2 linked regions of the Arabidopsis thaliana genome follow. The protein of the gene in region 2 interacts with the protein of the main gene of each other region in a pairwise test. Each region holds a gene or a part of one and is shown on either strand. Other genes may lie near its edges. The genes, in order: PUP8 and ABCG6.

The links.
Region 1: the proteins of ABCG6 (region 2) and PUP8 interact in a protein complementation assay, tested with the Arabidopsis thaliana proteins (one large-scale study listed by BioGRID).

What each region holds. Positions count from the first base shown.
Region 1 is NC_003075.7:10,067,443-10,071,634, forward strand, and holds PUP8 (purine permease 8), read left to right. Parts: upstream 1-2,015; 5' UTR 2,016-2,275; coding exon 2,276-2,306; intron 2,307-2,378; coding exon 2,379-3,532; 3' UTR 3,533-3,673; downstream 3,674-4,192. Other genes in the region: PUP6 (purine permease 6), read left to right, coding at 497-548, 640-1,751.
Region 2 is NC_003076.8:4,368,841-4,374,016, reverse strand, and holds ABCG6 (ABC-2 type transporter family protein), read right to left. Parts: upstream 3,326-5,176; 5' UTR 3,139-3,325; coding exon 955-3,138; 3' UTR 816-954; downstream 1-815. Other genes in the region: DCP2 (decapping 2), read right to left, coding at 4,025-4,359, 4,436-4,503, 4,594-4,697, 4,788-4,940, 5,057-5,095.

The sequences.
Region 1 (4,192 bases), on a different chromosome or scaffold from region 2:
TCTATAGATAAAGTGCTACTACGCTAAGGAATATTTTTGGCTAAATAATAAAAGAAATATGACAAGAAAAAACTGGTTGGTAATAAAAATTTAAATTTGGTTCGTGTTTAACGGTTGATAATACTGGTTGGTAAGTTTGATACTTTTGTCTATAGATAACTTGCTAGTACCCTAAGGATTTGTTTTGGCTAAATATAAAATATGGCAAGAAAATTCTGGTTGGTAATAAAATTTGGTTCGTTTAAAGATAGGATCCTACAAAAATGGAGGAGATGATTCATTCCAAGAGTGCCATTTAACAATTCACGGGAAATGGTTAGTAGGACAAATTATAACGATATATGTAGTACTTATAATTTTAAAAACTGAAATCTTAATGTAAACTAATACTAACTTTATTTATTAAAGAATAATATATGCATACGCATTTGCCTGTTATATAAGTAAGCAACACCATCTTTATTTGTTCCCTGACATATTTCTCCTTCAGGTTTCTATGATGGAACTAGAATCAGAAACTCAAGAACTCCATCTTCACGTAAATGGCGGTAAGTATTGTAACAGAAATTCCGGCGTAGAGATTCTTGTGTTCTTCTTCTTTTACTTATGTTCTTGTTCTGTTTCATGTGTTGATGGTAGAACCTGAAGGGAAATTTTCAACAGAAGAGAGAAGTCACAAGTACTCTTGGAGGTTAAGAGTGTCTCTCTATGTCACTCTCCTCTTAGCTGGAGAGACAATAGCCACTCTCTTAGGTAGACTTTACTACGAAAAAGGCGGTAAAAGCACATGGCTCGAAACCTTGGTTCAGCTTGTAGGGTTTCCTTTAACCCTTCCTTGCTATTATTACTTAAAGCCTGAGCCGTCCAAGACTAAAACCATTACCAAAAAAACTACTTCTTCCTTCTTGACACTATCTTTAGTGTATATTGGACTTGGCTTGCTTGTTGCTGGACATTGTATTTTGTACTCATTTGGGCTACTTTACCTTCCTGTCTCAACTTTCTCTTTGATCTCTGCGTCGCAATTGGCTTTTAACGCCGTCTTCTCTTACTTCCTAAACTCACAAAAAATCACACCATTTATACTCAATTCACTTGTTCTCTTAACCATATCTTCTACACTTCTTGTTATCCAACATGAACCAGAATCTCCCTCTTCTACTTCAAAGTCCGCAGCCAAGTCCAAGTATGTGATTGGATACATCTGCGCGGTCGGTAGCTCAGCTGGTTATTCTCTGGTGCTTTCTTTAACAGATTACGCGTTCGAAAAGATTCTAAAGAAATACACATTCAAGGCTATTTTAGACATGGCCACATATCCGTCTATGGTAGCTACTTGTGTAGTTGTGGTAGGACTTTTTGGAAGTGGTGGGTGGAAAAAGCTGAGTACAGAAATGGAAGAGTTTCAACTAGGGAAAAGCTCATACATTTTGATAAACATCGGTTCAACGATATCATGGCAAGCTTGTTTGATTGGAAGTGTTGGTTTGATTATCGAAGTTTCATCGCTTTTTTCCAATGTCATAAGCACTCTTTGTTTACCAGTTGTGCCTGTTCTTGCTGTTGTCTTCTTCCGTGATGAGATGAGTGGAATCAAGTTGGTTGCAATGTTTTTGGCCATCTGGGGATTTGTTTCTTATGGTTATCAGCATTATGTCAATGATAGAAAGCCAGAAGAAGACCAAGAGCTTCCTCAGTCTAAAGAAGAAGAAGAACAAAAACAAGTAGATACCATTCATGTCCAAGCTTAGGCAAAGATCCAAGAAAACCAAAAGCTTTTGTAATTTGAACCAGTTTAATCTAAAATAAAAATGAGTTATATATATTGTAGGCACTACAAATAAAATTGGTAAGTGTCTCAAGGTCTCACAGTCTTCATGTATCTTTGTTGACTTCTGAATCCAAGTCAAGTGTACTTATGGCCTTCCCGTCTTGTTGTATCGTTGTTGACTTCCAAATCCACAAAATAGATTACTAACATAACAAAAACAAGTAATAATTTTTTTTTTTCAAGTGGACGGACACTTGAGCCAATAAGATTAGAATAAGATACAACAATATCAAGCGTCTATATATCTGTTTTCACCAAACTCAGCCTACTTTAACAACGTTGTGTATAAGAAGTTTTCTTAAAACCGCCAATTAAAAGGTTTCAATAATTCAAAGTCAACGGTAAACATCTTTACAGAAATATGATGCACTTGTTCCCACCAACCTTCATATATATAAAAGCTTTACCAAAACTCTGTTTGTGGGAAGTCCTCTTAGAGTGGTCATGGAAATAACTCAAGTAATCTATGTCAATGGTAAGCAAGATGCATCTCGTAGTGTAGATTACTTGATTCTTTTCGCTAACCTGTTGTTTTTGATGTTTTCAGATCATAACAACATAGAAGCAAACCTAACAGGTCAGGAGGAAATGAATACCACCATGGAAATCGAATCTTCGTCCGTACCTCAATCGAAGAACTATAAGAAATGGCTTCGTATTTCCATTTACGTGTTCTTTGTCCTTGCTTGCCAAGCACTTTCTACAATTTTGGGCAGAGTTTACTATGAAAATGGTGGGAAGAGTACATGGATGGGAACACTTGTCCAACTAATCGGCTTCCCTGTTCTGTTTCTCTTCCGCTTCTTTTCCCAAACCAAAAATCCCAAACCAACAGAAGCAGATTTCAGAAAGTTCTCTTCCTTCACCATTCTTGGATCAGTTTACATCGTTACTGGACTATTAGTGTCTGCTAACTCTTATATGTCCTCTGTTGGTTTACTATACTTACCAGTTTCTACTTTCTCCCTCATCTTGGCCTCACAATTGGCCTTCACTGCCTTCTTCTCATATTTTCTAAACTCGCAGAAGTTCACACCTTTCATTGTGAATTCTCTGTTTCTCCTTACTATTTCCTCTGCCCTCCTCGTGGTCAACACTGATTCGGAAAACACAGCAAAAGTGTCTAGAGTAAAATATGTGATAGGGATAATATGTACCATTGGTGCTTCTGCTGGGATTGGATTGCTGCTATCCCTGGTACAACTGATCCTCAGGAAGGTTTTAAAGAAGCAAACATTCTCAACGGTCACTGACTTGGTCGCTTACCAATCTCTAGTTGCAAGCTGTGTGGTTCTCATAGGACTTTTCGCAAGCGGGGAGTGGAAAACTTTAACAAGTGAGATGGAAAACTACAAACTGGGGAAAGTGCCATACGTTATGACTTTGGCCTCGATAGCTATTTCCTGGCAAGTCTACACCATTGGCGTCGTGGGACTGATCTTTGAGTCATCTTCTGTGTTCTCCAATTCCATAACTGCTGTGGGATTGCCTATAGTTCCAGTTGTAGCAGTGATTGTTTTCCATGATAAAATGAACGCGTCAAAGATCTTCTCCATCATTTTAGCTATCTGGGGATTCATTTCATTTGTCTATCAGCACTACCTCGACGAAAAGAAGTTGAAGACTAGCCACACAAGTCCTGTAGGAGATCCTCATCTACTACCTGCTGAGGAAGGTCACACAAACATACATAGTGTATGATCAAAACATATTTCCAGTGTAAAGCCAATGTATCTTTGTACAGTTTGAGCATAGATATAAAAACGTGTATCTCTAGTCAATCATAAGTAACTGATAAGTTTTGTACATAAGATACCAATAGTTCGGATCTTTTTTACTTCTATATACCGGAGATACCCATAACTTAAAGATGCAAATGCAATACTCTGCTTTGTCATTTTGCAATGCATTTGAATCACCAAAAAACAAGAGCAAACATCGATAGCAGAGAGGCAAATAGGCTAAAGCATCCTTGGAAAACCAGAGCTTTGAACAAAAAAAAAGAAACAAGTGAACAAAAATAATACCCACTTACCTGGAAGCCACTGACATAACAAATAACCAATGTAGTGACTTGAACAGTGCCTTGTAAAAAGACTCCTTAAAATACCAAAAACGTATACTCCAGGAGCTTGGATTCTTGTATCTTTGTTGACTTCTGATTAAACGTCAGTAGACACTGAGAAAATAAAAAAAATTCTCGTAGAGCCGCCATTCAAAAGTTTCAAGAATTCCACAAGTCAAGTGTAAGCAAATAAGAAAAGTCACCGGTCAACATGAGACTACTAAATAATGATACTGCTACTGTCATCTATCGCCTGCCCCATCCATATAATACGATTTACTAAAAGCCTGCCATGT
Region 2 (5,176 bases):
TATTCATAACACGATGTCATCAATATGGCTTTAGGTATATCCAAGATACCAAAGGTACACCACCTACACCAAACTTGCTTGAAATGTTGACATAGCCACTTTTCAGTTGATAGAGACAAAGGAGTTTGAGAAATAAGGGTTAGTAAGTTTGCTATTATTGTTTTGACCCAATAATAAGCTTTATCACCTATCATGTTGAAGCATGTACAGTTTGGTAGAACTGGATTTACTGGCCATGGACGAGAGCAAACTGGAAACGGCCAAAGGTACACTACCTATTTGAACCCAATGGGGTGTTTGATGGTTCCTTATCTTTTTCCTCATTCCAAGTGAATTTGAACTTTAATGTTGCATTTGAGGGAAAGGATTCTGATTGATCTTGTTGCTTTTCCAGTGTAGGCATGTGAAAGATGAATTTTACGAGGTTGAATCAGTAGATGTTATTAATGAGGGGTTGAGGAAAGTGTTGGGAACCGGAAGAGGAACCCATAATCTGATTGGGGAATGTGTATGAGTTTGTACATAGTTCATGTTTCTGAAGCAAGAGATTGAAGTTGTTTAGAGAGGCTGGTGTTCTAAAAGTGACGAGACTATAGGCTAAGCTTCCCCTTGACTATGGTTGGCAAATCCATCAACATACGTCATATGATGTGTTCTACGGAATGTGTAAGGTGCTATTGTACTAAAAAAGTTGGCAATTTTTAGTTGTAAAATTTGTTTTACTTATCAAACCCAAACAAGCCAAATATTCTACACACATTTATAGTCTTTTCTTTTCAGAGTCTTCCAATTTATAATTCAAATAAATAGCAAGTAGTTGGGCTCCAATTCAACAATTTATCAACCACATATATAAGAATATACAACAAAGAGATAAAAGAAAAATACAGAAAACAAACAAAGGTAAATCAAGTTTCAAACCAGTCCTCCATAAGATCAAACTGAGTTTTGTTTTTACCTCCTCTTGTTCTTGCTACCCAAAAGCAGAGAAAAGTAGAACAAGATTCGAAAGAAGAAGCCCCAAGCGACCGTGACCCACAAGCAATTCCATTTGGTGAGATCCGTAACGCCTTGTTGCTGCAAAATGTCATATCCTGTGGTCAAGCAAGTAGAGCTTGTGATCCTCATTCCAAGTGATTTGCTCATAGTTGCTAGAAGCCTAACTTTCATCCCCTGAGGCACCGCGACCAGAGGTGTGTTGTCGAATATCTGAACTCCTCTGACGAAACACTTTGTTGGGTCACCGAATTCGTTTAGGAGCACAGCCTCATAAGGATACTTGACTAAGGAAATGTAATGGAACCAGATCCAGTAGCCAGGGATTCGATCTCGGTTGATGAAGAATCCACTGAAAAGCAAGAAATAGGCTAAAATGGCTACAACAATGGTGTAACCGAGCATAACGTGTGGGACAACGCCTGATAAGAAGGTGACGAATGAGCTTCCTGCCCAGAAAGAGGCTAAGATTACTAGGAAGTAGAAGAGGAAACCCATAAGACCTCCATCTAAACCCACACCCCAAAATGTGATCGCTGCAAAAGCAAGCGAGAGGATGATCAAGGAAGGGAGGGCAACAAGAGAGTGAGATAGTACATAGGAGGATCTTCGGTAAGCGTTGTAAGCAGTTTCTCTCATGAAAATGAAACGTTCTTGGAGGAAAACAGGGAGAGCATCTGCGCAAGTGTAGAACGTTGTGGACATTGCAAAAGCGAAGCATCCAAGACGTTCTTGGACTCCTTTAGGGGAGTTATCTAGCTGCCAAAACATAGTGGCTAAGATGAATCCAGTGACTAAAACAGCTCCTAGGCGTATCCCGAATAGTTCAGGCTGTCTGCGAGAATTAGTCATGGACCGTTTGGCTAGAACCGCGAGTTCGACCCAAAACGGGTTCGCGAAAGTTGGAATAGTGGAAACAGGGCTCGAGCCAGAGCTATGAGTTGTTGTGGTCGCTCCAGAGACGAGCTTGCCTTTAGAGATACTTGCGCTGATGGCTTCTTTTAAGGACAAGCCAGTCTGACTTCTTGGCTCTGCTTTCCTCTGTCTAAACCCTTTGTTGAATTCAACTAAACTTCTTGTTCCACCAGCTGATCCTTCCAGCTCACGTATCAAATCCAAAGCGAACTCGGTGCGGTTCTCATGTTCAGGAATTGGATGGCCAAACTCTGCGAAGAAGCGCGGTAGCATCGCAGGCGATCCGCTGAAGACAGTTTGGCCACGGGACAAGAAGAGAAGACGATCAAGCAATCGAAGAAGACGGTAACTAGGTTGATGAAGAGTCATGATCACCATACTTCCACTCTGAGCGATTCGTTTAAGAACCTTAATAACACTTAGAGCACTTGTAGAGTCCAGACCCGAAGTTGGTTCATCGAGGAAAAGCAGAATCGGATCGTGGATGATATCGATCCCGATTGAAACTCGCCGTCGCTCTCCTCCAGAGATTCCACGGTGTCCTTCATCTCCGATCACCGTATTCGCCGCGTTTCTAAGTCCTAACTGATCAATCAAGGCTTGGACACGGAGAGACTTCTTTGATTTCGAAAGGCTTCGCGGGAGACGAAACTCGGCAGCGAACATTAAGGTTTCTTCAACTGTAAGCATCGGAAAAAGAAGATCGTCTTGCATCACATAAGCTGAGATCGCTTTCTGCATTTTCGAATTGAGAACTTCTCCGTTTAGAGTTACATTTCCTTTCAAGCTTCCTTTAGCGATTCGATTCGCTAACGCATCGATCAGCGTCGATTTTCCAGAGCCACTTGCTCCGAGCACAGCTAGTATCTCTCCGTCTCTAGCTTCTCCGGTGATTCCGTTGAGGAGCGTCTTCGTCTTGGAAGAGAAGATCCCCTCAGACGGAGCTCCAGGATCTGAAGAAACACTGCGTCTCCATGTGAACTTCCGGCGAACTTTGACGCTGTAAGTGAGATCAGTGAACGAGAGAACGAACGGTACGGATTGGTCCGGCGAGGCGAGATCCACATCAACGTGATGCTGGTGGTGACTACGACGCGTGGAGTCGTCGACGTTTTGCAAGAGCTGTGCGAACGTTGTTGGAGAAGACGACGCGCCTGAGACATTGCCAAACTCCGGCGAGAAGAACGGCAACGCCATATTGTCGTCCGCTGCGACCACACGAGACATTCTTCTTTGGGTTTGTTGCGATTGTGAAGCGGGAAAAATCAATAGACGGAGGAAAAACTAACGGCGTCAAAACTACCGTTAGCCGGAGAAGAAAAGAGGAAAGAAGAGTTATGGGTTTAACCAAGGATTTAATTTCTAATTCTATTTATAGATAAAATTCTCAATGTGGTTGGGCTGTTTAACATGCTTTGATTTTTAGGATTAATTTTGATGGGGAGAGTCAAAGTCACAATGCTGATGCTTATGTAGATGAACCTCCAAACCTAAACACAAGCAAGTAAAAGTGTAAAACACAAAATGCCACTTGTCAGTTTCTGTTTCTTTAAAATGTTTTCGTATAGCAATCAAATGTATTTTTTAGGCCACCCTTGCCGAATTTAGGCCACCATTCCCCCACCCACCTTTTATACTAACAAATTACAATGTGAAAAAAACTAAACAATCTCGAGATATCTCTTGTTTCCAAGGTAATCATAGTATTACATAAACTTCACTTATTTAGGTGCGACTTTTTGTTTTATAGGTGAGTTCATTTTTTATTCTAAAAAGAAAAACACTTTCTGCTTCGATTAAGCAGTTAGAGGGCGCTATAAAGAAGATCATCGATTCACTACTCGGATAAGAAACTCTTTTAACCTTTATAGCTGGTCGTAACATTGTCATCTAAAGCCATGATCCAAAGGATTCACCACTTCCCTACTAACATCATTTACAACAACCCTTTCATTCTAGAAGAAACGAGAGGTATATAAACCAAATGGCAAAGAAATAGAAAGCTACCAGCGTGTATGAACATATCCAACGGTTTTGCTATAGACAAACCCACCAATCCAACCGCATCATTACTCCCAACACCAATCCAACCGATATGTGACAAACTGACCAGTCAAGCTGAATTACCAGATTCCAACGCCTGTAAGATAACTGACTGGTTGAACTTGAAGTTTATGAAACTGCCACCAGGTTTTATGTCCTGAGAATGGTCGACTACAGGCTTTGTATTGTGGCTTTCTACTGTTGCTGTTGTATTGTGGCTTTCCATTGTTCCTTTCCTGAGTTCAGGCTTTGTACTGTGGCTTTCCATTGTTGTTCTCTTGAGTTCAGGCTTTCTACTGTTGCTTTCCATTGTTGTTGTCCTGAGTTCAGACTTTCTATTTTGGCTTTCCACTGTTGCTGTCCCGTTCCCTCCAACACTAGTCCTTGCATTCCACACGCAGAGTGCTGTACAAAGCATATATAGTCAGATCTCTACCAAAAACCTCTCTTTTAATGAATGCTTGAGAAAAAGACGTCAAACCTTTAAGGGGCTTGTTAGGTCTCCGTGCTACAGGTGAAGGATGCTTTAATATCCACGACTTCAATGACCTGCACAAGTTTGTAATCTCTCTTGTTATGAACCAAAACACGAAAATCACCCAAAAATCTATGTGTATAAATTAGAGAGCCACTACTCACGAAAGGAAAGGTGCCACCATGTACAATTTGAGACCAGAAACTCCATGAGTTATCACCTCATTACTTGCTGGCTGAAGATGATCAAGCCGATGCCATGTGATTTCCTACAAGTATTCCACAACAAAAGAAGATAAGAGACTCATCATACATACACAGACAAGATCAGATCCACAAGTTAATTGTTAAATACGCACACTGATTTCCTTCTTTGTAAGTGGTGCAAAAACTGTATCTTCTGTCACCCCAGCAACAATGTAAAGTCGTACTCTTTGCTGCCTGAAAACAAACTCTATATATTCTTCTCTCTTGAGTAGCTTTGAGACATCAAATCCAGTTTCCTCTAAGACCTGTAATTTAGCATGGAAGAACAATACATAAGAAGTGTGACAAAATATTCAGTTTTTTTTCAACATTAACCCATATTCCAAGTCTATACAAACAATCAGAAGAAGAATTACAGCACCTGAAATGCTACATTCACCAGGAGAATAGCACTAGAGAGCTACAATTAAACCTTTGACCATTTCCATACCAATGAAATAGTAAAAAGATACAGAGAGCCTATATAGTTGACCATTGACAG